Linked DNA regions of Ovis aries. The protein of the gene in region 1 purifies or fractionates together with the protein of each later gene. This does not show direct contact. Links are inferred from orthologs where the notes say so. Each region holds a gene or a part of one and is shown on either strand. Other genes may lie near its edges.

Region 1 (4,012 bases):
TGGGCTTAGGCTCAAGTCCCCAAGGCAGGAAATTTTATGACCGCAAAAGGCCTCTTAAGACTAGGGTACACATATGCTGTTTTAAGTGAGGGGACAGTTCTTTCAGGGTAGGTTCAGTTAATCAGGTCCTAAGGTGGGGGAGGTGTCTCTCATGAACCCGAGGCAAAGTCAAACTCATGATGGGAGATGCAGAACCCTATTCCAGAGGGACTCTATCCATGCCCCAAGGGAAAGGTCTCAGGGCTCAATTCTGGTCCTGGGAGACCTCCTGCTCCCAAGGAGTGCCTTAAGTTCCTTGAGGGGGAAGCGTGGACCTCATCTCTAGAGACATGCCAGTTAGTGAGGTATGTATGCATCTCTTATCCTTGAGGGAAAGCGCAAGAATCCTTGGCACAGTGGGTCTCAGATGCCCAAAGAGAATACTCAGACCAGTCCCTGAGTAGTAAAGTCCCCTAGAGACCTTTGAGGAGGATATCAATTTCCTGAAGAGGGCTTCAGACCTAAAAGCCCAGTCTATAAGCAGGGGGAATCCTAGGCTCCAGTATACAAAACAGTGAGTCTCATTTTCTTGAAGAAAGGTTTAAGCTTGGGGGAGGCGTGTCCAGCCCTTAAAAAAAGCTTAAGCTCCTAGAGAAAGATTCAGACTCTTGTCTCCAAGGAGGTCTCAGATCCCTTAGAGAAAGCACAGACCCCTGTCACTTAGAAAGGGATGAATCTCATGTACCCTAGTAGAGTTTTTGGTCCCAGGGTGTTGGTTTTGATCCTAGTACTCAAGTGGAAAGAGATCATAGGAGAATATGTATGTGTGTGTGTGTGTGTGTGTGTGTGTGTGTGTGTGAGGTCCCTGACTTCTAGAAAAGGGAGTCTCAGACTCCACTGCTGCATGGTCCTGTGCTGTATCCCCCTGAGGAGGAGAAAGGGTTGTCCTATATAGTGTCTCAGACCCCTGAAAAGGATTTAGGTATCCTGGGGACACTCGTATCTCTGAGGTAGCCACCTTACTTGTATTCCCAGGAGGAGGAATCTTAAGAATCTCATTCCAGGGGAAAAGAAATTTCAAGTCACCAAACACAAACCAAGGTCCTTTGGAGAGTCACGAGACTCTCCTTGCCTGTCTCTCCTGGGGAGTGCCTACCTACTGGCCCTACACGATGAGGCCCCAGGGCCCACAATCAACTATGGGTCCTAGAAGAGACCACAGACTCCATCTTTAAATCCTCCATCTTATCTGGGGCCGCTAATCCCAAATCCCTGGGGGGGGGGGGGGGGGCGGGGTGGGAGAGTATATCGCAACCCCATCACCAGGGAAGAGTGCCAGACTCAAGAGAAAAGACATAGGCCCCTTGGAGCAGGCTCAAACAGCCTTCCTTGGGTTCCTAGCCAGTCTAGGGATCCCGTCCACCACACTCACTCACCTCCCCCATCCCAATGCCCATACCTGCTCGACGGTGGCGGGGTCCATGGCCTCTATACGCGCTGCAGCCGCTTCATATTCATCCTCACTGTTGTAACCTGCGCCGACCTCCTCACGCTCAGGACTGCCCCCGCCAACCGCACCAACCCCGGGGGCCTGACGCCGCCGCTTGCTGTGACCCGGCCCTGAGCAGCAGCCGCCCACACCCACGGCACCGCCCACGCCCACCACCACACCCGCCGCGCCCACGCCCGTCGCTGCTGTACCCAACGCATCACCAGGACCGCCGCCGGGACCTCCGGGGCCCCCGCAAGGAGGTGGAGAGGCCTGCTGTGGCCGAGGACCCGCCACGGCGCCAGGCGGCACGGCCAGCGCCCAGCGGTGAAGCGCACCCGGTGGCCCTGGAAGAGGGCCTTGAGGCGGTGGCGAAGCCCGGGGACGGGCCCCCACGACGCCCGAGTCACGGTCGCGGTCGCCGCCGCCCACACCCGTGCCGCCGCCGCCCACGCCTACACCCCCGCCGCGGCGAGGCGCCGGGGGCAGCGGTCCGGGCGGCGGCGGCTCGTTGGCGGGGTCGCCGTCGGGAGGCGGCGGCTTCTTTTTGGGGAGAATAGTCATGGCGGCACCGCCGAGTAGCCCCCAGCAAACCCGCCGCGGGGGACGCTGGGAGAGGACCCGGATGGGGTGGGGGGGGCTACAGTGGTGCGCGAAGGACGACGGGATCGCCGGGACCCGGATAAAGAGCTCGCTGCACCGGTTCTCGAACCGTCGGCGGAACGCGGGTCACGCGGCAGGAGAACCCGGATGTGAAGTCCAAGATTAAGGCACCGCGGCGAGCTTGTCGTAGCCTCTCCAAGTCCAACAACTTTATTGCTACGCTCGTTCCGGCCTACGGCTTCAAAGGAAACAGAACCAAAACAAGCACCTCTTCGCCCCGCCCCCTCGCAGGTTCTTGAACTACCGGGTGGGGCCTGGAACGTTGCGCAGGCGCGCCGGGGCACAGCCCCGCCTCTTGTTCGGAAGTACGTGGGCAAAATCTTCGCCGCCGCCACAACAATTGCGAGCACCAACCAATCGAAGCGGTTGCGTGGGTGTTCGATGATGACCACGGGCCAATCAGAAGCGGACGTCGCCCTCCCCTGCCCTCCGTCTCAGATTTCAGTCAAAGTCGGCACCCTTGTTCCTTGCCTTTCCCTTCACTGGTTCCGTCCGGCTCTTCTTTCCCCGAGGCTCTGGCTCGCAGGCGCGGGCACTGCGACAGAATAGCGTGGCTTGCCCACGCACAAGTTTAAAGTCGCCTCCCTTCCAGGCTTTTAAGTTGGCCGAAGTCAGCCGGACTGACTGCAAAAATATCAACACTCCCAGAGCTTAGCTAGCCCTTGAAGCGTCAATTCCGGTTCCACCCACCTACAAATTCACATCCGGTGGAGAGGCGGGCGCCGCCTCACCCTGGCAACAGGCCGAGTTCCGCGGTGATTGGTTAAGAGATGCCACCACTCAAGTCGGACGGGCCAACCTTGGGACAGACATGCATCGTGGGGACAAGTGGGTGTTTGGGAAGCAAACACGCCCTCTCTGGCATCCGCGTACACTCGCCCTCGCGTTGACCTCCCCGCCTCCGTGGCTAGCGCGCAGGCGCGGCACATAATTTTTTTTCTTTTTTTTCCCCCTCCTCTGAAACTGTTTACCTGAATCGAGCAATGTTTATAAACCAGCTCGGTCACCAGCCAGCGTCTTTACTGCAGGAATTTTACCTGCTACTGAACGAATGGAGAACTACAAGCTAATCCTAGCTGTGCCTCTTCAATCTGGGTGATCTCTGACAAGTCATTTAATACCCACCCCATCCTTAATTTCTACTTCTCTGTAAATGGCAATGATAATCCCAATTTAAGATAAAAGGTTAATCCTTGCAAAGGGTTTGGTGCAATGCCTGGCACATCACTAATTAGTCTGTACTGTGGTGCAATGGAAAGGACCCCAACCTTTTGAGTCAGGAAGACCTCAGTTCCAGGCACATGTGGACCATTACCACTGTATGACCTTGAGGAAGTCAGTGTCTCAAATTTGAGGTTGCTGCTGCTGCTGCTGCTGCTGCTAAGTCGCTTTAGTCATGTCCAACTCTGTGCGACCCCATAGACAGCAGCCCACCAGGCTCCCCCGTCCATGGGACTCTCCAGGCAAGAACACTGGAGTGGGTTGTCATTTCCTTCTCCAATGCATGAAAGTGAAAAGTGAAAGTGAAGTCGCTCACCCATGTGTAAAACAGGAATGATAACGCCTTCCCAGACTACCTCTAGTTATGGGGGTGAGTTGAGCTCATGAACGAAGAAAGTGTTGTGAGATGCGAGGGCTCCTTGCCAGTGTTAGGAGCCAAGCCATATAATAGGCCATCATATAACTCTCTTCAGTGCCACCTAACCTTCTCCCTTCAGATGCCAACCCTAGTTAAAGGTCTTCCCTGAAAGGTGTCAGTAATAAAGACTATAATAGTATTTTCTGCTTATGAGACTAAATTGGAGGAGAAGACTCACGTTTACTGAGCTTCTTGTGTTTAGGGCACTGTGCCAAATGCCTATGCAAATTATCACACTGAAT
Region 2 (4,141 bases), on another chromosome or scaffold:
TACCAAGTCCGGTTAAGATCCAGTGTGTAAAATACACGCAGCAAAACTGCCTGACTCCGTGGGAACGGGGGGGGGGGGGGGGGGGGGGGGCGGGGTTCCAGAACCGGGCAGAAGCCTTAGCTATGAGCCAGACACTGACGCTAAAATGACGGACAGCAGCGACGAGGTCTGCGCTTTCACAGCGCCTGCAGTTTAGTGGGAGAGGCTGACTCTGACCGGACAGTCATGCAAGTAACTGGAAACCTAGACTCAGAAGTGATGACGGAGAAGCGCAAGGAGAGACGAGAGTCAGCAACCACTGCAGCACGATGTGGCTTCAGGCCTGTCTCAGCCCCGATCCAGAAAGGCCCCCCTGAGCTCTGGGCAAGTCCCTCGTTTCTCTGGACCTGAGTCCACTTACCTGCGACATGGCAAAGCACCATCTTCTCCTAAGAACGTTAGCCTGCCATCAGGGTTCCGTGTGGGCATTACCATATCACCTTCTGGTGCCTTCCTAGGCTCTCCAGCTGTTCCAGGTGGCCTGCTTGGGGCTTGCACACCTCACCATCGCAAGCTTCCCAACTAAGGACTAAGCTTGTTAAGGCTGCAGACTTTGTATTTAAGCCTGCATCGTGGAGTGTCCGGCTCAGAGCAGGTGCAAACCAACGTTTATTGAACGGATGGGTGGATGGGAAGAGCACACTGTTCCAGGCAGCGCTGACATTTTCATGGAACGGACAGGACGCAGCCGCGGGATGACCGTCCAATCCGAGGGCTGGGATGAGGGTCCCACAGGCTGCCGCGCCTTAAGCCCTCAGCAGAAATTCCAACTGCTGATTACTTGCTGCGCGCTCTTGGGTGACTTGCGGGGCCTCTTTGCGCCCGCATCTTCATCCGGACTAGGAATTACCCTAAACGAGTAAAGCGAGAGGCGGAGGCGAGGGGACGCAGAGGACAGGCCCCTGAGGACGCTGAGCACGGCCTCCCCGAAGACGGCGGCAGGAGTGGCTGTCAGAAAGCTGCTCAGCCGGCGCAGGTCGAAGCTTGAGTTCTAAACCTGTCTGTTCGTCTCCGACACCGAGGTCGAACTTGAGCTCCGCAGAGCGGTATCGGTTCGAACGCGCTCACGGCCGGAAGGCCCGGTGAAGAGCGGGACGCGCGCCCCTAGTGAGCCGCAGCGCCGCCCGGCTAGTCCCTACCCAGGAAGGAAGCGCCCCCCGCGGGGGAAGCCAACCGTGGGACACCGCCGGAAGCTGGTGGGCGGGCCCTACCGGCAGCCGCGACGGGCGCAGCCAGGAGCCAATGGAGCGCGGAGGCGTTCCCGCCGCGGCCAATGGGACGCCGACCTAGGCGGGACCAACCGCCTGGTAACGGCCTCGTGGTGACGGGGTGCGCGCTGCCTGGGCTGTGCGGGCTCGGGGGCTGCGGTTGTCAGGATGAAGATCGAGGAGGTGAAGAGCACCACGAAGACTCAGCGCATCGCCTCCCACAGCCATGTGAAGGGGCTGGGGCTGGACGAGAGCGGCCTGGCCAAGCAGGCGGCCTCGGGCCTCGTGGGCCAGGAGAACGCGCGTGAGGTGTGGCGCGGGCGGCGGGGCGGGCCTGGCGGGGCGGCGGGGCGGGCCTGGCGGGGCGGCGGGGCCGGGGCTGCGGCGGGGCGGGCCTGGCGGGGCGGCGGGGCCGGGGCTGCGGCGGGGCCGGGGCTGCGGCGGGGCCGGGGCTGCGGCGGGGCCGGGGCTGCGGCGGGGCCGGGGCTGCGGCGGGCGGCGGGGCGGCGCGGAACCCTGCTCTCCCGGACCGCGCGTTTCGGACACAACGTTTAAACCGCCCAACGGGAGTGTTAGACTTTGGGGACGGGCTCTGGGGGGCTTTCTGAGAGCGCATTGCGAGGCCCTGGGATTTTAAAGCCGGCAAGTGGCCAGGCTCGGCAGGTGACGGGTACCGAGTCCTTTTTGACCATTCCACTTAAAGCCCATATCTACCGAGGGATGGCGGTGCCCGGTCCTTTCTGCTGCATTATTATCACAGAACTATTCAGGCTCTTTTTTTTTCTTTTTTTTAATTGTTGCTTTTTTTGTAGATGAAAAAATTCAGGGTGAGAGACCTGTCCACCCAGCCCCCTGGCGACTCAGTTTAGTAACACTGGAGTTTGTGCCTGTGTTTCTGACTCCTGAGACAGTGCTGTCTGTGTAGCAGTCCCCCTCAGCCCGTTGCCAGGACCTCTGCTGTGGCTCAGCAGCTCTCAGTCCAGGCCAAGACTCTTGCCCTCTAGCCTAACTGTGCTAAGAAAGGGCCAAAGAGAAGCCTCCATTCTGGACACCATGCTTGCAGAGGGGAAACTGTGGCAGGATTAAGGTGACTAGCTTCTCTTTATCCAGCCTCAGCTGTCTGAGAGGCTATCACTGCAGAGTCGCTGCGTCCTCTCCACGTGCTAAGCAGCCCCGTTTCCATCGTCCTATCGTCCCCTCCATCCTTAGACTGCCCCTCTCTGCTTTTTTATGGCACTCTTCTGACGTACGGCAAAACTGAAAGAGCTGTGTACCTGTGTGCCCAGGTTCTACAAGCGACACTTCACGCCGTTGCTTGTCTTCTGTCTGTCCATTTAGCCCTCCAGCAGGCTGCCTTTGCATGTCACGCTCAGTCGCAGACATTAGTATACTTCACCGTAAATCCGATAGCATTCGGGCCTCGGTGTTACGAATTCTGTTTTTGGACGAGAAAACTGTGTTTCACAGAGATCAGGTTATGGGTCTCAGATTACTCAGCTGGTGCTTGGCAGAGCTAGGCAAGGCAGCCTGACTCCAGAATCCACGCTGTTAACTCAGCTGCTATGTGCCTCCATCTGAATATGAGCTTCCCAAGGATAGAGACCGGGTGGTGGTAAATATCCAGAACCTGGGTTATGATAGGGACTCAGAATTTATGTGCTGACTTATTAGTCATCCCACCGCTGCCGCCAGGTCCTTGTTTGGGTCTGGTCACATCACCAGCCTCCTTGGTGTTTAATAGGCTCACCTGAAAAATGAGAGTTACAGCTCTCTAAAGGCCCTTCCAGTTCATGCTTTTTAAATCTTGGAATTCACTGGAAGAAGCTCACTGGAGAGAAGGAACCTAAATGGAAGCATATTAACGGGAAGAGGGGGTGTGTGAATAAGAGCACACAGACAAGGCTTGAAAAGTCTTCCTCCTCTTTGAATCGCCCAGAGCTCCAGTGCTGAGGGTTATGAATGATGTCAGAGGTCACTGTGGAAGGACCTCAGTGGCTCCTTTTTCTTTCTGAAAATGCGACCTCTGAAGAATCTCTTCTGGGCTGTGAAAGTGTGCCGTGCTCTCCCAGCTGAGCCAGAAATGGGGTGGAGCACGTCCACGTGGTTTCCGTGAACCTGTGTTTTGAGGGGCTGTCTAAGTGTGAGAGCAAGATACGTCTCCACAGTCCGTGGGGAAAAGAGAGAGAAGAGCAGGTGTTCACAAGACGTTGTCAGCAAGGTGCTGTCCAGGGAGAAAACCTGTGACCTGCCTTGAGACAAATGGAATGCACCTCGGAGAGAGGCGCGCTTTGAATCGTGTAAGGGATCTTGTGTAGTCTCAAGATACAGGAGTTCAGGGAGTGTGACTTTCTCAGCCTTGCTCCAGAAATGCTCTAAAACGCATACAATCAGCAACCCGTTTATAGACTTTCTGTGATGGACATTCATATGTGTGTCAGTATACAGTGGGCCCTTGAACAGCATGGGTTTGAACTGCATGAGCCCACCGCATGCAGGTCTCTTTCAGTGTATAAGTGTTAGGACCCTTGGCTGCCGTCACGGATGTGCAGGGCTGGCTGTAGAGTTATGTGCTGATTTTTGACTGCGTGGAGATTGCGCATCCCAGCTTCAAGGGTTCGTGGGTCAACTACACATATGGATGTATGTGATTATACATATAAATACACACACAGTGTATATGCTGTACAGAATGGCTTAATACTCAGAATGTTTACAGTACGCTAACAACTAATTTAATCTTTAGGATTTGAAAGGCAGTTCTTGGGTCTTATGATGCCATAGATTAAACATCACATGTAGCGCTTGCTTGCAGCCTCCTGGGATAGTTGACTGATGGCCAACTAGTAGAGTGTGTCATTGACTCTTAGTACTTGGTGGGTTAATTTGAGAATCTA
Region 3 (3,981 bases), on another chromosome or scaffold:
AAAATAAAAACCATTTAAACTCTATAATCAAAGAAGCCATGTAAATGCCTTTCCTTCCCTTGTTAGTAGAGGGGCTCCACTGACCCTGTGATCTAAAGAGAATCTGCAAGGAAATTCCATCTTCCAAATGGTTTTTTCCAAATTCCCAAACAGTAAAGCCAATCAGAGGAAGAAATATTAAAAAAAAAAAAAGACCATATTTGTTTTGTTTGTCCTGTATAAAAAAGGATCCCAATATAAAGGTATAAAGAAGGGGAGAACAAGGGACATATCTCTTGGTGTAAGGACACAGGATAAGGATAAGCCTCAAAAAGAAGGGTGGGAGGGGAATATTGTTAAGGCAGTAAAATATTGTCTGTAAAAAGTTGGAGGAGTCGTCTCCACAGCTTCAGAGGTGAAGGCAGAGGTTGCCTTCTCAGTGGTGGGGCTCTCCACTCAAGTGTTCAAAAGAAGGGAAATTTGTGTCTCTCGCCTTGGTTCTGTTCCAGCCATTCTGTTGCTCACTCTGCGTCACCTTCTGCCTTGTGTAGATAAGAGTGCTGCAGGGCTCGGAAGGCAGAGATTCGCTTGTGTGGGTTAAAAGTCAGCATCTCCTGAGAAGAGACGCAAATGTCAGAAAACATGGAAGAAACAAAAGGGACTCCTGCTTAACCCTAACAATACCTAGAATGGGTGATTTTTTTCTATCCCTCTTGTGGCCAGCCGTTCAAAACAGTAATAAAAACCAACCTGTTCATTATCAAGTCTCAGTAACAACAATGCATTTGGGTCCCTTTTATCCTGCTCCATTTCCCCCCACTGATGGCTCAAGTGGTAAAATAAACTGCCTGCAATGCAGGAGACCTAGATTCAATCCCTGGGATGACCCGCTGGAGAAGGAAATGGCAACCCACTCCAGTGGGCTACAGTCCATGGGGTTGTAAAGAGTCTGACAGGACTGAGTGACAAACACGTGATTTCCCCCTGTAGTCTCGCCCTGTGCCCATGCCTGAGTCTATTACCAGCAGCAGCTGTGCTCCGGATTCCTCCAGCTCAGGGACCACTGACTGCACTGGGCGGGGCCCTCTGGGGGAAAAGGCTCCTCGGGGTAGAGAGACATCTCGGGGCCAGTCATCCTCCGGGGGCAGTCCGATCAGGCTATGGGGAACAAGAGAATTCTGGTCAGGAGGGCCTTTTTCCAGCCCCCATCTCCAGGGGCAGAGCCAGCTGCTGTCAAGGACTCAGCAGAATGCAAAGTCAAGGACTCGGAATGCAAAGTTCTTCCCCCTTGCAGGTCACTTACTCAAAGATTTTGCCTAACTGGTCAGCTTCAGAGTTTCCACAGAAGAGAGGCCTAAGGTGAAAAGAGACAGTCATTCCAGTAGCAGTTTTACAAAGACAGGGTGGTAGATACTGTTTAGTGGCTCAAAACATAGGGTGTGGAGAATAAAGGGCTATGAAATTCCTAATTCCAGAACATTTCAGAGTTTCCGGCTATGGACAAGGTGGCCAATAGTAAGTGGAAGAGCAGGCAGGGTATAGGCGTGGCTTATGAATAAAAAACTTGGGAAATTCAAAATGTTTGGGATACTTGGGCCCCATACTTTCGACGAAACATCTCTGCAAAGATACAGCCAACACTCCACATGTCCACGGGTGTTGCATACGTAGACTGCAAAAGAACTTCTGGAGCACGATACCAGAGTGTAACAACCTGATGGGAATAAGTAATGCGGATGAGAGTCCTGCAAGTTACTGCAAAGCACATGGAAAAACACGCTCCTTCTCAACTGTTATGGGCAATCACTCTTCTCCCCCAGCCAGACCCCACTCTGGCCCCATCCTGGCCACCATCATTCTACTGACCACAGGTGTAAGTGCCATCTGGTAGCTGTAGATTCTGGCCAGGCCAAAGTCAGCCAGCTTGACTGTCCCACCACTTGTCACCAGAATGTTCTCTGGCTTCAGGTCTCGGTGAACGATGCAGTTGGCATGAAGGAAATCCAGGCCTCTTAGAAACTGGCGCATCAGATCCTGGTTTGGAAGGGGGAAGTACAGAGAAACTGGGAATCAGGTGCCACACCTGAAATTACAACAAACTACCACAAAGGTCTCAAGCTATCTCTCAGTGTCTGCCCGCCCTACTTACCTTTATGGTCTCCACTGGCAAGCCTGGTGGGGGTGCCTTGTCCAGATACGTCCTGAGGTCTTGGTCCACATGCTCAAACACCAGGGTCACTTTGGTCTCCCGGTCAGTTCGGGCTGTTGCACAGACGTCCATGAGCCTGGCCAGAACAAATGGTCACTCATTGAGCAATGGTCTTGGACCCAACATGGCCTCCCCTATTTCCTCAGGGTTCCCACTCCTCTTCTGACCACCACTCCACATCTACAGGTTAGGCTGTCTTTTTCCTTTCACGACCCATTCCCACCCTTCCATCTTCTTCTCACCTGACAACATTGGGATGCTCAAAAGCCTCCAGACGCCGCAGTAAGGCCACCTCCCGAACGGTGCTGATGGGCAGGCCCCCTCCAGCACCTCCTCCGTTGGGGACTCTCACACTCTTGAGGGCCACAAAGTGGCCACTGTGAGGATCACGGGCCTTGTACACTGTCCCATAGGCACCGACACCAATCTCAGCCACTGGCTCGTATCGAGAGGTAGCCATTCTCAGACCAGAGGAGGCCCTACAATCACAGAGGCTCAATGAGCCTGCAGCAACAAAGTGACTCCCACAAAAGACATCACGAAGACAACACCAACAGCATTCCCAAGCTTCCCTGAAGGCAGCCCCCTAGGTAACACAATAACTCTAACCCCAAACCCTCCAGCCACGTGAGGCCCTATAACTTTTTCAAAGATGCATTTTCCTTGGGGACCATCAAGCCCCACACAAGGGAAATCCCATAAGACACACCCCCTACATCAAAGACCCGACACCCAGTTCCTGAAATTACACCTCCCTTCGGCCACAAAGGAACATTATCACATCCTGCCCCACTTCCCGCCCTCGAGCAACCCTTCCATAACCAGCCCGCGTAGGAAGCAGTGGACGGCGAGAATGGTCCCCATTCCTGAAAAGGGCTACACTCACCTCGCCCCGTGTCAGGAGCTGCGGGGTCGGCCCGTTATCCGGACCCCGGAGCCGGTTCCTGCAGCGCCATACACTCGAGGTCTGTCCTGGGCAGCTGGACGCTATGGGCCCGACCATAGACACAGGCCGCAGGCTAGAGCGGCCCCCTTTACCCCCACCCTCACCATGTGACCAGCTGCCAAAGAGGCGCGCGGAAATTGGAGGGGCGGGGCCAACGCCGGACGTTCGGACCACGTGACCGGACTACTCATGCGCGGAGGGGCAGCCAGAAAGCGGCTTTGAACGAGAAAGGGGCGAGGAGGGGAAAGAGGCGGAGAGAGATGGCAACCACATGATCTGTTGCTATCACACGTGACCGCTTGACATTGCTTGGAGGAGCAGAGGTGTGGTTACGCTGAAGGGCACGTGACTGGCTGCCTTAACTCTGGCTGGGCGTTGGGGCGGGAGAAGAGAGAGGGTGGAGTCCAATGCGATGCCATGGCAACCTGGGCCACCCAGGATTCCCAACTCCGGGCTGCAAGCCGAGCCTGAGTCTCACTACCTGTCTCTCACTCTCTCTAAGCGGGGAGATGGGTCGAGGGACGGGAGGTGCTGCTGTCGTCTTTCTGCTCCATCGCTAGCAGAAAACATGTTCTCATTTGTGTCTTTGTTTCATTCATTCATTCAGCAAATGTTTACTGAGTCCTTGCTTCCTGTGTGTCTGTGGGGTTTCTTTTTTTTGTTAATTTTTTTTCGACAAGTGTCGCAGACACTTGACCTTTATCTATAAAGATACAGTCACATAGTTTATATGTGGTCATATAAAATAGGGAGTAGACGGTGCCCAGTTCAGTTCAGTTGCTCAGTCGTGTCTGACTCTTTGCGACCCCATGGACTACAGCACGCCAGGCTTCCCTGTCCATCACCA
Region 4 (3,500 bases), about 41 Mb from region 1:
ACCAAGCAAACTTCAAGTTTATCCTCCATGTTCCTGATTATATTTTCATCAGTCTTTTCTTTGTTACTAAGTCATTGTTTCCTTTAGCCCCCTTTTCTGCCCTCTTTATCTTTCTCTCTCTAGCTTTTATTTATGAAATCCATAGGGAATCTTCATCACATATCTGATTGGGTGTAGATCTGAGTCAATTTTTGTCTGTCCTTAATATGTTCTTTTTCTACTTTTTTCTTAAATCTTTGCATTGATGATGATTACTTCCTTGTGAAGAATAGCAGTGGGAAGGAACATGGGATTGAACAGGAGGGCAACATGATGACTTTTTTCACCAACCTTTTCCACTGGTCACATGTTTCTGTCAGGTTGCTTTACTTCTACAAAATATCAGATTGATTCTAGTGGAAGCACACAGTTCTTTTATTAAGCAGACACTCCCAAGATATGGGAGCAGACCAACAGCAAAGGGGTGGTAACAACTCCCACTTGGCTTCCCTTTTTATATTCCCTGTCTCCTCCTCTTGGTTCTGCCCTATGCAAAATAGGGCTTGTACCTACCACCAATCAGGAAAGGGAATGCAAATTGGCATACACACAAGGCTGATTGACAGTTGCGAGTTACATAATAACAGGCTGTATTGTGCATCTCCTTCCCATAATTCAGTCTGTTATAATCAGATGTATGTATGTATAGAATATTTATGAACCCTTAAAGCTGGCTACGGTTACTTGAGGACACAGCTGTGCATCAAGGGCGCATGTGCTGGAGTTGGAGAAGCCACTGTGATTATTTCTGTAGCATATTGTGAGCTCTCCTGGGTGTGTCTGGGTTGGTGTTTAGACATCAGCTTGCATCCTTTTCACCTAGACCACCCCTCTTGTTCATGCCTAACTTCCTACCTAACAATTCTGATTATTCTCTTTTGTCGTCTGTAACCCTTGCCCCTTGTATTCATAAGTTCCTATGTGGTAGGGAACAGGCTAGCAAAGTAATGCTCAAAATTCTTCAAGCCAGGCTTCAGCAGTGTGTGAACCGTGAACTTCCAGATGTTCAAGCTGGATTTAGAAAAGGCAGAGGAACCAGAGAGCAAATTGCCAACATCCGCTGAATCATCAAAAAAGCAAGAGTTCCAGAAAAACATCTACTTTTGCTTTATTGACTACATCAAAGCCTTTGACTGTGTGGATCACAGCAAACTGTGGAAAATTCTTCAAGAGATGGGAATATCAGACCACCTTACCTGCCTCCTGAGAAATCTATATGCAGGTTAAGAAGCAACAGTTAGAACCAGGCATGAACCAACAGACTGGTTCCAAATTGGGAAAGGAGTATGTCAAGGCTGTATATTGTCACCCTGCTTCTTATATGCAGAGTACATCATGTGAAATGCTGGGCTGGAGGAAGCACAAGCTAGAATCAAGATTGCCAGGAGAAATATCAATAACCTGAGATAGGCAGATGACACCACCCTTATGGCAGAAAGCGAAGAAGAACTAAAGAGCCTCTTGATGAAAGTGAAGGAGGAGAGTGAAAAAGCTAACTTAAAACTCCACATTCAGAAAACTAAGATTATGGCATCCAGTCCCATCACTTCATGGCAAATAGATGGGGAAACAGTGACAGACTTTATTTTCTTGGGCTCCAAAATCACTGCAGATGGTGACTGCAGCCATAAAATTAAAAGACGCGCTTGCTCCTTGGACGAAAAGCTATGACCAACCTAGACAGCATATTAGAAAGCAGAGACGTTATTTTGTCGTCAAAGGTCCATCTATTCAAAGCTGTGGTTTTTCCAGTAGTCATGTATGGATGTGAGAGTTGGACCATAAAGAAAGCTGAGCACCAAAGAATTGATGCTTTTGAACTGTGGTGTTGGAGAAGACTCTTGAGAGTCCCTTGGACAGCAAAGAGATCCAACCAGTCAATCTTTAAGGAAATCAGTCCTGAATATTCATTGGAAGGACTGATGTTGAAGCTGAAACTCCAATACTTCGGCCACCTGATGCGAAGAACTGACTCATTGGAAAAGACCCTGATCCTGGGAAAGACTGAAGACAGGAAGAGAAGGGGATGACAGAGGATGAGATGGTTGGATGGCATCACTGAGTGGATGGACATGAGTTTGAGCAAGTTCCAGGAGTTGGTGATAGACAGGGAAGCCTGGCCTGCTGCAGTCCTCAGGGTCGCAGAGTCGGAAATGACTGAGCGACTAGACTGAACTGAACTGAACTGCATGGTAGGGTAAAGATGCTAGTTTCCCACCCCGTTTAAATCACCTTCAAGTTGAAAAGCAGGTGGGAAGTAGATAAAGAAATTGGACAGATGGAGCTCAAAAGATCAGCTGTGTTACTGCTGACACTTGATGGTGTGGCTTAGATCTCAACTATTGATGCAGTTGTGCTTTCTAATAGTTTTCCTCTACTGGGAAAACCTGCGGGAGGGAGAGTTTGCTGCCTCATACCAGTCACCTCTCCAAATTAGGGAAAGGGCAAGATCCCAAACATGGACCTGCAGTCTGAGTGCCTGTGCTGCCCACGTGGAGGGAGAGCTGACTTACCCAGTCCTCACAGAAAGGTGTTGGGCTGGGCATGCTGCAATGGGTCGTTCCAAATGCACCAATCAGAGACAACTTCCTCCCACCTCGAGTGAGGGGAGGGGTGCCTGGGAGCCCCAAGGGCTGGTGGGGCAGGTGACTGACTTGACAGGCGCTTCTCCGCGTCAGCTTCCCAGAGGCCACCATTTCTCCTTCTTACGTCGTATTAGGTTAATTAGAAACAAAAACACTTTTTTTGGTTTCTTTGGCTGAGACCAGCAGCTGCAGGCTTGCTCAGCACTTAGGTAGCCCAGGGCTTCGTGCTCGTGGAGATGCCACCTTTTAGCCTCCTCAGCTGAGAGTAGCTGCTGCGGGCCTCTGGTCAGCCTGCAGGCCTCCTCTACATCCTCTCAGTGACTGCTCCCCACTGGCTGGTGGGCTGCCCAGGGTTTGCAGGGCTGGGCCACTCTGCGTCCTTCTTCCGCTGGGAATTCGGCATTCAGCACCCGTAGCGGCCCTCCTCGCATAGTTTTTAGTTGGCATTTTAGGTGTTTTCTAGTTGCTTCAAAGATGGCACTTCTGCTCTGTGTTTCTCTGGGGTTGGTGGGTTTCAAGAGAGATGGCATAGCATTTAAATGACTAAATCTCTGTTGGGTCAGTGATATTAATTTCAGTGACATGGATAGTAACACTAGGCCTGGAGCTTGTCTCATTTGCCAGGTGGTTTTCAGGTTATTTGGGAGGTCAACAGACACTAATACATTCATTTCTCATAACCGTGACACTGAAATACTCTTTTGTGCTAATTATTACCTCTTTCTGCAGTTGTCCCTCACATTACTGATGCTGTCCAGGAGTGGGTTATGAATCAAGCCATGGTGCCCGTGGATGGTCATAAGGAAGAGCCCCAAATATGCGTTATTGAGGCAAGCATGGAACTTTATTTCTATATAAGTTTGTATCCTTATTAGT
Region 5 (3,500 bases), on another chromosome or scaffold:
GACTCTGTAACAACCTAGAGGGGTGGGGAGAGATGGGGGAGGTTCAAGAGGAAGAGGGCATGTTTGTACCTAACGTACAACATGACTGATTCCTGTCGATCTATGGCAGAAACCAGTACAATATTGGAAAGCAATTATCCTTCAGTCAAAGAGAAATACATTTTTTAAAAAGTGCTACATCTTCCTGCATTCTGGCTGTCCCATCTGGGTATAGAAATCAACAAATTCACACGTGGCTCTTGTGGAGGAATGAAAGAGACGGTGATGTAAGAGAGAGTCTCCTAGCCCCTGACGGAGGGACAGGCTTTTGATGGCTTTTGGCAGAGGCTATTCCTAAGTACTCTTCCTACCTACTGATTTCCTATATTTTCTCCTCCCTCAACACACCTGCTCACCAAGCTCTGCTGATTTTTCATCTTTAATATCTTTCATTTTCCTTTGGACCCTGCCAACATCACCTGTGTTCAGACTTTTCTCAGTTCTGTCAGGATTACTGTGATAACCACTAATCACTATTCTTGAGAATGTCTTCAGCCTCATGCTCTCTGTTCCATTCTCTTTGTCCCTCTCATCAGGATGACTTTTGGAAAGTGCAAATCTGCCCAAGTGGGAATTCTAGGTCTCCTACTTAATATCTTCATGACTTGGAACTGGTTGTATGGATTCTTCCATATCATAACTCAAAATCTATAAAATACAGATAATTTTTTTCTAGCTCAGAAAGTTGATATAAGGATTAAATATGGTTATATATATGATTATGGATTAAATATGGTTATATATCTGTATGTTAACACATAGAAATTACTCAGTAATTGTCAACTGCTCTTCTTTTCTTGATTATTCTTACTGTTCCTATGATTCTCCATGATTCACCAGTTGGGCAATATTATAATAAAAGAAATCATGATACTTGAGAACTTTTCAGACTCTACATGACCTCCCACCAAATCTCACACCACTCATTAATTAGTGTGTTATCATATAGAATCAATAAAGTGCATTCAGCCCAGGATAAAAACAATTAGGTAAGTGAAGGATTCAGTAGAAAAATTAGGTTGTTTATAGTACTGCTTATAAAAATTCTATACAAAAATTTGTTCTTCTAAGAAGTGATTAAAGAAAATCAAACTAAATACCCTCAAAGGATTCAGTGACTCTACCCTAAAAATCCTTCCGGCCTTTTCTTCTTCAAGTTCTCATTAGAATGCAGTAATATATTCAAATTAGCAGTTTCCTAAGTGGTATTTTCAGACTTTAAGGTATGTATCATATACGTATGCAGAGATGGACTTTCTACAACACAGTCTCTCAAAGGTCCTAAAACTGCTTAAAAATCTTACCCGACATTCTTCTGAACCACTTGGGTTTCTTGTCCCATATAATAAAGAGATAGTACGCAGGAATCCCAGTCAGAGTGATGATGAAGCCGATCCCTGTACTAAATGGATCTGAATAAAGGGAAAGGGCCACCATGAAGAGACACGTGAAGGAAAACAAAGCTGGGATGAACAGCGGCACCTGGAACATAGCAAAAAAGAAAACCACTTCAAGCATGGCTTAGGAGACAGAAGGTAGATCCGAGTTGAGCACTGCAGTCATGAGATCAGGTGATACACTTTGATCACGTGACCAGGTGACAGGCACCATCCCACTTACCTTCCTACGAAAATCTCTTGAGTAGGGCACAGAGCAGATACTGATTTGAAAACACTCCTTTAAATTAAAAATAAATCTTTGGGTAGAACAAAATCTAAGGATAAATAAGTGTGTTTCATTAGAGACATTCTGTTTGAATTATTTTACTAGTTAAGTACCATTATGATTTATGTTTCTGATTGTAAAAGATTGCTTCTTTGATAATTATGATTAGAATCCACTTTAATGTAGAGCCAAGAGCACAGGCTGCTTGTTACATGTTAAAGCCTTTCAGTGCATATTGATTTTCTGTTGGAGATTCACAATATGAACTGACAGGGATAAAATAGGCCAACTCCTATTCAACCACTAATAAAGATGTCGCTAGCATTAGGTAATGAATATAATTAGAAAAAAAATGCTGACAACATGATGGACAACATTATCTGTGTTATTTCTTAAAAGCAAATACATAGTGAGTTCAAATCAAACCATGAACATTCAAGGCTGAAGGAGATGAGAAGCATATTCGTCAGCCTTCCCAAAAGGAAATGCATCGTTATGGTAAATGGATGTTCTATTAAGTGGTAAATTCAGACATCTTCACTTTCTTAAGTATTTTACATCTCTATTACTTCTGGAGTGCATGATGCAGAAAAGGGCCAATGTAACAAGTCATAACATTCAAGAATACTCAAAATGCCTTTTTTGAAAAGCAGCATCCTTTTTAGAGGCTTCCCTAGTAATGCTAGTGATAAATAATTGGCCTGCCAATGCAGGAGATGCAAGAGAAATAGTTTTGATCCCTGGTTTTTGAAGACCCTCTGGAGAAGGAAATGGTATCCCACTCCAGTATTCTTGCCTGGAAAATCCCATGGACAGAGGAGCCTGGCAGGCTACAGTCCATGGGATCACAAAGAGTCAGACATGATTTAGTTCTTAAATAACAATAATTCCTTTTTAGAGTATTAATTAGTGATGATTTCATATGTATCTGCCTCACTCTTTCTCAGCATGATTGTCCACAACTATTCAGCATAAAAGAGTAGTCTATACTTTGAATGTATCAGATCATTAGGCACATTAATGAAAAATCAGTGTAACGACCATTTAATATTAATACTCCTTTTCAAAAGTGCGACATACAAAGCTCTGTACATCACAAACAAGCTAATCAACCATTTTTTCCAAACTAAAATAAATCCCATATGAAGGCATTACCTGCAAGAGTTAAACGTTTTATTTTAGAGGATTCTGCCCTCTGCCCAAGCTTCTCATCATCAAGTTATGACAAAGAGAGGACCAGATATTAGGAGGAAGATTTATGTAAACCCATGAAGATTGCTGAGGTTACCTTGAAAGGACGATGCATATCTGGGCGTTTGTATCGAAGATAAATCAGCCCAGCAACTGCCAGCCCAATAAAAAGCCACCTGGCAAAACTGAGGAAATTCAGAAGACTGTAGAGGTCTCCAGAGAAGAGCATTATCATTGTCAAAGGGTGCTGGGGGAAGGAAGAAAAAAATCACACTCAGTGAGTTAAAAGGGAACAAACATGATAATAAGCAATGACATCACTATACAATATTATTGTATTTTCCAAATGACTATTTTCACAGGTTAACTAGGATCGTGATTAAAATCTATACTCAACTACCCTCCTAGCTATATCTTACTCTTTACTCCTACATACACACATACATGGATGTGTTATTTTTTGTTGTTTTTCATTAAGAGAATGTGTTTTCCAAGAGTAAAACACAGGACACTCAATAACTCAAAATTTAAAGATCCAGAGGGCAGAGATGGTTAATAACTAACAATGAAAATTAAAAGTGTATCCAATACAAAAATTTACAGAA
Region 6 (4,140 bases), on another chromosome or scaffold:
GGGCTGTGACCGCGCTTTACAAAGCAAAATGCGTAAAGCCCTTTGTAGGGATAGGAGAAGACAGTCTTATTTTAGAGTCTATCCGAACTTGCATAGCTTTTTACAGAGGCACAACTGTTTCTTCTCCTTCCAGCGCAGGGAAATCACTGCAGGCTCCCTTCTTTTGACAGCGTGAATTTAGGGGAAGATTTATTGAAGGGGATTTATTTACACTAATGAGAATATGATTACCTGATGCAAGATATACTTATGAGCGCCTACTGTGTACCAGGCATTGAGCTGGGCTCTTTATAAAGAATAAAGAACCTGAATTACATGCCAGTTCTTTCCCTGGAGTAGAAGATCCGATATACAACGGTTTCTTAGGGTCAGATCAGGACACGAATACAAAATAGTGTTCCTGCGCCTCCCCCTGGAGAGAAAATGAAGTAGGAAATGAGATTGCGCATGTGGAAAAGCGCTTAGCTCCCACGCTTGCGACGCAGCAAGCCAGTCCCTAAAATGTGTTCTATAATGGTAACGATAACTAATTAGAAATATCTGAGGAGTATTGAGAACTGTGTCAGACTCGGTGCTAATTCCTCTAAATGTATTTAGTGAATTTTACTCTCCCTCAAACAAAGAAGTAGTATTGATCATCCCGTTGCGCAGATAAAGAAACTGAAGCATAGAAAAACCTGCATATCTAATGTAAGAACACTTAAAGTGATGGAGCTGATAAGGTGTTTTATTTACTGTTTTATCCACAAAACCTATAGCAATGCCTGCCGCAGTAGACGGTGAATTTGTCGTTGTGGGAAAAGTGGGTGATTAATATCTGCTTTTGAAAAGTTTTTTTGTTTTAAGAAATAATTAAAGACGGGTGACTGCAGAACTAGTCCAGAGGTCCAAGTACTCTTCTCCCAGTCCCGGACCTAGTACTGTCAATCATCTTACACCATATCAAACCTTAATCTTAGTACAATCCACAGACCCTGTTCACATCGTAATATCCTTTTCACTGAAGTGCTTGGCACTTTGCAAAATGACATAGTTCCTAACATATGGTTAATAGTCGCAGCTAAAATGCCACTCTGCTTTCTGCATCTAAGTAGTGCATCCTGGAGGCGTGCACCCAGCTCGAGGCAACCACGCCCCCGGGAAAATCCAAGCATGGAATGCAGACCCTTGGTATTAGAGCAGCCCCGCCGCCGCCTAAGGGGTTACCCGGGCGGGGTGCTGTTGGGGAGGGTGTTCATGCGCTTGCGCGCCGCGTCGCTTCGCTCCGCCCCCGAAGCGCGGTCAGATGACCCGCCCAACCGGCGTCGGCCTATAAAGTCTCGGGTGTTGACGTCAGCGTTCTCTTCCGCCGTCGTCGCCGCCATCCTCGGCGCGACCTAGCTCGCTCGGATCTGCTTGGGAGAATCCACCGCCATCCGCCACCATGGTGAGCAACGCTGTTCAACCGGGGACCTGAAACGGCAGCGAAGCTTCGGCAGGGCTGGCGCTGCCAAGCCTGGGGTCTTGTGGCCTCCCTGACTGGGAGGAGACATGGCGGCGGCGGGGCCGGCGGGGCCGGAGCAGGTGAAGCGGCTGCCGCCATGTCTGCGCGCCGCACTGCTCGCGACCTCCGCTTCCGGGGGCGCCGCCGCCTCGCGGGGTCCGGGGTCCGGCTAAAGCTGGGGCGGAGGCGGGGCGGGGGGTATGATGATGTGGCAGACGCTGTAATGGCGGGCGCCGCAGCGCGAGCCGGGAGAGGGGAGCCGCCTTATGTAACCCGCGGGCCGGGAGTTTCAGTCTGATTTTTTGTCGGGAGCCGTGGGCGTCTTGGAAATGGCTAAAGGAGAGAAGAGTAAGACCTTTAGAAGCGCCCGATCTTCTCCCGCTGTGTAATGTTATTTTGGTCTCTTGTCTTTCTTGAACCTCCCAATTGTGAACACCTGATCCTGGAGCCACGAGGTGGAGGTTCGCGCCTGTTAGGGCTGCGCAACCCCCCCTCCCCCAAACCGGGGGTGGCATATTTACGAATCAAAGGTGGGGTGTTGGCTCTGACCCCCACAACCCCAGCGAGGGGTGACCTTGGAGTTCGGAGACCCCTTTTGGTTGGGAAGCCTCGCGGTATACCAGTGGCCGCACAGTGGGACACTTGAGGTTCAGCCAGACCCCATGAGACTCCAGTATCTACTAGTATAAAGGGAATCTGTTGTCACTCATTGGGACTTAGTCCCCAGTTTCCGTTCTGAGTTGTCACTTTGGGTGTGACAGCCAAGATTAGGCTTTTCAGGGACAGGGTGAGTTGGACATCTTTAAAGGGGTGTTAACAAAGGGGGATTTAGGTCGGAGTTGGCAGCACCAGGGACCAGCCTCTTTTGGCTAGGGCCTTGCAGCCTCTATTGATCAAAGTCTCTGTGCCAAGGGTCCTTCCTGGAGTGCTGGCCTGTCATGACCCTCCCCTCCTCCACCCTGCCCAGGTGAACTTCACAGTAGACCAGATCCGGGCCATCATGGACAAGAAGGCCAACATCCGGAACATGTCTGTCATCGCCCACGTGGACCATGGCAAGTCCACTCTGACAGACTCCCTGGTGTGTAAGGCGGGTATCATCGCCTCTGCCCGGGCTGGGGAGACCCGCTTCACTGACACCCGGAAGGACGAGCAGGAGCGTTGCATCACCATCAAGTCAACGTGAGCAAGTCCCCTGGTGTCGTCTCCACAGGGAAAGCGGGGTGCTGCTTGCTCTGAGTCCTTGGTAGTGGGCGGGCTGGATAGACATAGGCCTTTTCTCACAGGGTTTTGGGGAGAGGAGCACTTTGGAGCTGGGCTTCTGAACTGGGAGGGATGATGGAGCTTCATCTAGTGGGATGGGCACCTTTGTCTCCAGGGGAAGAGGCACAGTGACGGGTGGTAGAGTTAAGGAGGTTGGAGGGGAAGGGAGCTGGGGGCTCTTGGCAATATCTGGAGAAGTCTGAGGATGGTATTGGCATCTGGGGTCAATGCCAAAGTCTTGCTCTGCGCACGCCAGCCTCCTGTGAGTTTTCTGGTCCCAGATGTCATGGTGAGAACCTCCCTCCACCCCAAAGAAAAAGCAATGATGGCAGTTGTCTTCATTTAGTCGTTTGTCCTTGGTCGTTGCTCTGAGACTCACTTCCCTGCAGGGCAGGGAAGGGTGGAAAGGAGCCTTTGGGCTTTCTAGCTCCTATGCAGTAGCTGCTTTTTTACAACAGGTGTGTCAAGCCTGGGACGACCTAGGTGGACTCTGGTGCCAGGGAAGTGGCTGTCCCTGGCAGAGGGTGCAGCAAAGATAAATGTCCCAGATGGCGGTGGCTTTTCTGTTGGGAGTCTTAAGTTCATCTTTAGGGATGAGTAATGCAGGGAGAGGGGACAGGTTGCAGCATCTGCCTGGCTTTTTATTGGATCCCAGCCTCATTTAGGAATGAAGAGTGTCCGTCCTGACTCCCCCTCGGTGGGAACCTGATTGACCACAGGCCAGGCTAAGGTGTGGCTTCCACCTGGCTCACCTGTCCCCATTGTTTCAGGGCCATCTCCCTTTTCTACGAGCTTTCAGAGAACGACTTGAATTTCATCAAGCAGAGCAAGGATGGCTCTGGCTTCCTCATCAACCTCATTGATTCCCCTGGGCACGTCGACTTTTCCTCAGAGGTGACAGCTGCACTCCGTGTCACTGACGGTGCCTTGGTGGTGGTGGACTGTGTGTCTGGTAAGCAGTGGGCACCCCCTAGGACGGCTTGGAACCTGGTGCTGTCCCTTCTCTGGCTGCAAGAGCCGCCTCATCCCCTGCTGTTCTGCAGGTGTGTGTGTGCAGACAGAGACGGTGCTGCGCCAGGCCATTGCTGAGCGCATCAAGCCAGTGCTGATGATGAACAAGATGGACCGGGCCCTGCTTGAGCTGCAACTGGAGCCTGAGGAGCTCTACCAAACCTTCCAGCGTATCGTGGAGAATGTCAACGTCATTATCTCCACCTATGGCGAGGGCGAGAGTGGACCCATGGGCAACATCATGGTAGGACAGCCTGACTGCTGGGTTTAGGGTACTTTTCTCTGTCTTCATAGTAGTCCCTTCACTGCTCCTGTGGGGCAGACTGGAAGGGCTGTGGTCTTGAGCTGCCCCTGGGGAACTGCTTCTGAATCAGTGACTTCCT
Region 7 (4,003 bases), on another chromosome or scaffold:
CCATTGCCATCCTAGTTCCAGCTCCACAGTTCCTGGAAGGGTTGGGCTTGATTGGGGCAGAGGCTGACTTTGGGCCTGCCAGACTAGGGGGAGGCAAGTGAGGCATTTCAGCTGCAACTTTTAAGGAACATAGGGTCAAAAAACTCAGTAAGCAAGAGAAACAGTATTTTAACGCAATATCGCAAAAAAAAAAAAAATTGCAGAACTCTGAGAAACTGAATATTTCCTGCCACATCAGTAAACAAGGATGTCACAGCCAGCAGCGATTGCAGCCACCATGGAAGGTGAGCTGGTGAGCCCCAAGGGCGCACAGAAAGGGGACTACCTGCAATCTAGCAGAAACCAAAGCACTCCCTACGGTTGGGCCCTGAGGAAAGGAAATTCAGGATGTGAAAAACGCAGGACACAGGCTCCAAACAGCTGAGGTGCCTATTAAAGGAATGATTTCAGTGAGTCCACACTCTTGCATGTTCCCATACATAGAAAAGTTCTAAATTCCTTAACTTGGGATACCTGGTTTTCTTTAACAATAATCTTTTCCACGTTCAGATTACCTGCCCTTTGTTGGAAAACTTCTATATAATGCAGCTCCTACTCTCGCCTGCTCAGAGCAGTTTTCTCAGCGTTACTTGAGATGCTATCTCCCTGGCTTGAAATCCTAAAAATTCCCGCGGAATAAAACAACTCTCAGCTTTCAGGTTGTGAATATTTTTTAAACCAACAGCCTGATGATGAGTAAAATATCAAAATTTTAAAGAAAGACAGGATTCGCCTTCGCACTTGCACAATCTTGCCTCAAATCTAATCTCTACACTGGGCCAGGGAGGGGGGTGCCTGCTTGCCTCTTTACCGAGTGCATCATTACCGGGGTGCAAGAAAAAGAGGCCAAACCCCCGCTCCCCAGCCCCCATACCCTGCCCCTGCACAGGCGCCTCCAAACAGGTGCTGGCCCAGGGCTGGCGCGCCCGCAGCGGGCGGGGCGCAGCGCTCCGCAGCTTCCTCCCAGGGCTGAGTGAGCGTGGAGTTTCGATTCGCAGGGCCTGCGCAGAGGGGGTCGGCCCAGCCCGCCCCCGCCCCGCCCCGGCCCGCCCCCGCCCCGCCCCGGCCCGTCCCCGCTCCGCCCCCGGCCCGCCCCCGCTCCGCCCCCGGCCCGCCCCCGCTCCGCCCCGGGCTATGTAAGGCGGCTCCGCGTGGCTTCGTGCCACCGCTAGACTCCGTGTCCCTCCGCGCAGGCGGGCGGCCCCGGAGAGCTAGTGCTGCGAAGGCGGCGACGGCGGCGACCCCTTCTCATCATGGTGAGCGGGAGGGCTGGGCCGGGACCCTAATGCAAAACGAGAGTATTGGGGGACTTAGGGGCGGGGGGGAGGAAGTGGCATGCAAATGAGGACTCGAGGTTCCGGAGTTGAGTCGGGGCTTTCTTGGCTGAGGTAGGGGCGCCGCGGGGAGCATGGGGAGAGGGGTTGGCGCTGGAGAAAGAAGGGAAGTAGCGAATCGAGCCTCAGAAGCAGCTCCCTCGGAGCACACCCGGGTGGCGGGTGGGTCGGGGTAGCGAGCACTGGGCCGCTGGGCGGGCATTCGGCACCTCCTCCCTGCCCAGGGCCTCGTCTGAGATAATGTGCGCCTGCTGAGCTGTCTGGGTGCTGGCGAGAGGTGGGGCCTCGCGGCTTAGAGGAAAAGGCGCTTTACAGTAAAAAGTGTTGCCGCCTGTGGCTTGCGCAAGCAGGAACCCAAGTGGCTCAGAGAGGTGCTGCTGACACACAGCAAGGGGTGCGAAGACCTAGACTCCGACGCAGGTGCCCTGTACCGCCCAGTCCTGAGGCAGGCACAAAGACCACGACTTTGTGGGGGGCCCAGGGCAGAGGAGGAGGTGGCAGGCTGTGCTGAATGAAGCCCTTTGTCTAGCGCTCTCTGGCCCAGCCCCCCACCAGTCCTTCTGTGGGACCATTGTCCCCCAATCCCAGACAAGAGAGTATTATCTGTTACTGGCATTGTTGGGGGAAGGGAGGCGGTCTTTGGGTGACCCTTCTCCACCCCCACCCTCCTCGATGCCCTCAGGGGCCAGGGCAGCTGTGGTTTTACCCAGACATAGAGCCCTCCACCTCCAAAGAGGTCATCCTTAATAGAGGCCAGGAATATAAGTTAGGCTTCACTTCTAGAATCGCAGGCTTCAGGCCCTCCCCTGCAGGCACTTCCCACCAGTTTTCCTTTCAAGGTGGCCGCAGTGGGTGATCCTTGAGGCCACGATTCTCCTTAAGAGTTTGGGACTGCCCAGACAGCCCTCTGCATACTGCACAGCCAGAAGCCCTCAGGTCCCAAGGACGGAGGAGAGACCATCTAGAACCTCACGGCTTGGGAAGGCGCCCACGGCCCCGGGGGTGCCTGTCAATCAAGGGTTGGGGTGCCTGGAGTGGGGGGATTCCTGGATAGGGCCAGGCCTGAGAAGAAGAGGCGAGGCTGGCGGGGCGGCCCTGCGTGACCTGGCTGACGCCTGTCTTCCCCTCCTCACACAGAGTAGAGGCTTCTCCCGAAAGAGCCAGACGTTCCTGCCCAAGGTCTTCTTCCGCAAAATGTCATCCTCAGGGGCCAAGGACAAGCCAGAGCTGCAGTTTCCCTTCCTGCAGGATGAGGAGACGGTGGCCACGCTGCAGGAGTGCAAGACGCTCTTCATCCTGCGAGGCCTGCCTGGGAGCGGCAAGTCCACGCTGGCCCGGTTCATCGTGGACAGGTACCGGGATGGCACCAAGATGGTGTCTGCCGACAGCTACAAGATCACCCCCGGCGCCCGGGGGGCCTTCTCCGAGGAGTACAAGCGGCTGGACGAGGACCTGGCTGCCTACTGCCGCCGGGATGTCCGGGTCCTGGTGCTGGATGATACCAACCATGAGCGGGAGCGGCTGGAGCAGCTCTTTGAGCTGGCCGACCAGTACCAGTACCAGGTGGTGCTGGTGGAGCCCAAGACGGCCTGGCGGCTGGACTGTGCCCAGCTCAAGGAGAAGAACCAGTGGCAGCTGTCAGCAGACGATCTGAAGAAGCTGAAGCCTGGGCTGGAGAAGGACTTCCTGCCGCTCTACTTCGGCTGGTTCCTGACCAAGAAGAGTTCCGAGGCCCTCCGCAAAACTGGCCAGACGTTCCTGGAGGAGCTGGGCAACCACAAGGCCTTCAAGAAGGAGCTGCGACACTGTAGGTGGCGGGGTGGGTGGGTGGGGCACTCAACCTTATGAGCCCCCTTGCTAGCTGGGCATAGGGTGCTGCGTGGCTGGGACCATTGTTCTCCAAGCTCTTGGGGGATGCAGCGGGGCTCACCTGGCGCTGGCAGAGGTCTCCTGGGGCGGTGCACACGCAATGGGACGTGGGAGAGATGTTCACCAGGGACTTTCCCTCTCACCGTCTCCCCAGCTGCCCTCTCCCAGCCTGGAGCTAGACCACCGACCCTGTCTTAGAGGTGGGGAGAGCAAATTGCATACTGTCATAATAGGAAGTACATCAACATTTCATAGAACCCTGGAGGGAGAGTCTGGTCCAATGTTTTCAAATTCATTTTTAGCTGCAGAACCGTTTTCTAAAATACAATATGCCATGGAGTCCTAAGCTGCAGAAAACTTACTACTAGAACTATTGTAAACACCAGCGGGGACGGTTCCCAGGCCCTGAGTTAGCCAGTGCACCTCCTGTGGTATTGCACAGCTCCAGAGAACAGTCTGCTAGAGTCCAACCTCATTTTTGCAGATGGGAAATGCACAGAACGGATGTGGGATTTGCCCAAAGCTATCTTGAGAGCCCTAGACTCTATCGCCTCTAGAGGAGCCTTCCCTTACTGGGTCGGACCAGAGTGCCCTCCTGCTGTTTGCTCCACAGAGAAGAGAGATTTGGGATAGGGAAGGGCCCCCTAGTGGCTCTTCTCCTCCAGTGACCTGTGGGGGACATGTCACCCACCCACTAATCATCTCTTCTTTTAACACATTCCTAGTTGCCCCCCACCCATCAATTTTAGACTTGAAATATC

What was found.
Region 2: the proteins of OTUD5 (region 1) and RUVBL1 purify together in Homo sapiens (affinity purification with mass spectrometry, with the first as the bait; 3 studies listed by BioGRID). This does not show direct contact. The link is inferred for Ovis aries from reciprocal best matches to the Homo sapiens genes OTUD5 and RUVBL1.
Region 3: the proteins of OTUD5 (region 1) and CDK4 purify together in Homo sapiens (affinity purification with mass spectrometry, with the first as the bait; 4 studies listed by BioGRID). This does not show direct contact. The link is inferred for Ovis aries from reciprocal best matches to the Homo sapiens genes OTUD5 and CDK4.
Region 4: the proteins of OTUD5 (region 1) and CTPS2 purify together in Homo sapiens (affinity purification with mass spectrometry; 3 studies listed by BioGRID and IntAct, with this or other methods). This does not show direct contact. The link is inferred for Ovis aries from reciprocal best matches to the Homo sapiens genes OTUD5 and CTPS2.
Region 5: the proteins of OTUD5 (region 1) and SLC7A11 purify together in Homo sapiens (affinity purification with western blotting; 3 studies listed by BioGRID, with this or other methods). This does not show direct contact. The link is inferred for Ovis aries from reciprocal best matches to the Homo sapiens genes OTUD5 and SLC7A11.
Region 6: the proteins of OTUD5 (region 1) and EEF2 purify together in Homo sapiens (affinity purification with mass spectrometry, with the first as the bait; 3 studies listed by BioGRID). This does not show direct contact. The link is inferred for Ovis aries from reciprocal best matches to the Homo sapiens genes OTUD5 and EEF2.
Region 7: the proteins of OTUD5 (region 1) and CNP purify together in Homo sapiens (affinity purification with mass spectrometry; 3 studies listed by BioGRID, with this or other methods). This does not show direct contact. The link is inferred for Ovis aries from reciprocal best matches to the Homo sapiens genes OTUD5 and CNP.

What each region holds. Positions count from the first base shown.
Region 1 is NC_056080.1:56,126,291-56,130,302, reverse strand, and holds the start of OTUD5 (OTU domain-containing protein 5), read right to left. Parts: upstream 2,801-4,012; 5' UTR 2,033-2,800; coding exon 1,439-2,032; intron 1-1,438. UniProt on the Homo sapiens protein: Deubiquitinating enzyme that functions as a negative regulator of the innate immune system. Has peptidase activity towards 'Lys-48'- and 'Lys-63'-linked polyubiquitin chains. Can also cleave 'Lys-11'-linked ubiquitin chains (in vitro).
Region 2 is NC_056072.1:59,390,508-59,394,648, forward strand, and holds the start of RUVBL1 (ruvB-like 1), read left to right. Parts: upstream 1-1,341; 5' UTR 1,342-1,415; coding exon 1,416-1,556; intron 1,557-4,141. UniProt on the Homo sapiens protein: Possesses single-stranded DNA-stimulated ATPase and ATP-dependent DNA helicase (3' to 5') activity; hexamerization is thought to be critical for ATP hydrolysis and adjacent subunits in the ring-like structure contribute to the ATPase activity.
Region 3 is NC_056056.1:161,900,495-161,904,475, reverse strand, and holds CDK4 (cyclin-dependent kinase 4), read right to left. Parts: upstream 2,649-3,981; coding exon 2,431-2,648; intron 2,265-2,430; coding exon 2,129-2,264; intron 2,014-2,128; coding exon 1,846-2,013; intron 1,694-1,845; coding exon 1,584-1,693; intron 1,334-1,583; coding exon 1,283-1,333; intron 1,138-1,282; coding exon 1,002-1,137; intron 594-1,001; coding exon 501-593; downstream 1-500.
Region 4 is NC_056080.1:14,927,440-14,930,939, reverse strand, and holds part of CTPS2 (CTP synthase 2), read left to right. Parts: intron 1-3,353; coding exon 3,354-3,454; intron 3,455-3,500. UniProt on the Homo sapiens protein: Catalyzes the ATP-dependent amination of UTP to CTP with either L-glutamine or ammonia as the source of nitrogen. Constitutes the rate-limiting enzyme in the synthesis of cytosine nucleotides.
Region 5 is NC_056070.1:19,545,137-19,548,636, reverse strand, and holds part of SLC7A11 (cystine/glutamate transporter), read right to left. Parts: intron 3,143-3,500; coding exon 2,993-3,142; intron 1,522-2,992; coding exon 1,344-1,521; intron 1-1,343. UniProt on the Homo sapiens protein: Heterodimer with SLC3A2, that functions as an antiporter by mediating the exchange of extracellular anionic L-cystine and intracellular L-glutamate across the cellular plasma membrane.
Region 6 is NC_056058.1:17,828,224-17,832,363, forward strand, and holds the start of EEF2 (elongation factor 2), read left to right. Parts: upstream 1-1,340; 5' UTR 1,341-1,423; coding exon 1,424-1,426; intron 1,427-2,450; coding exon 2,451-2,665; intron 2,666-3,516; coding exon 3,517-3,698; intron 3,699-3,789; coding exon 3,790-4,001; intron 4,002-4,140. UniProt on the Homo sapiens protein: Catalyzes the GTP-dependent ribosomal translocation step during translation elongation.
Region 7 is NC_056064.1:41,862,419-41,866,421, forward strand, and holds the start of CNP (2',3'-cyclic-nucleotide 3'-phosphodiesterase), read left to right. Parts: upstream 1-1,203; 5' UTR 1,204-1,292; coding exon 1,293-1,295; exon of another isoform or gene 1,296-1,427; intron 1,428-2,510; coding exon 2,511-3,180; intron 3,181-4,003. UniProt on the Homo sapiens protein: Catalyzes the formation of 2'-nucleotide products from 2',3'-cyclic substrates. May participate in RNA metabolism in the myelinating cell, CNP is the third most abundant protein in central nervous system myelin.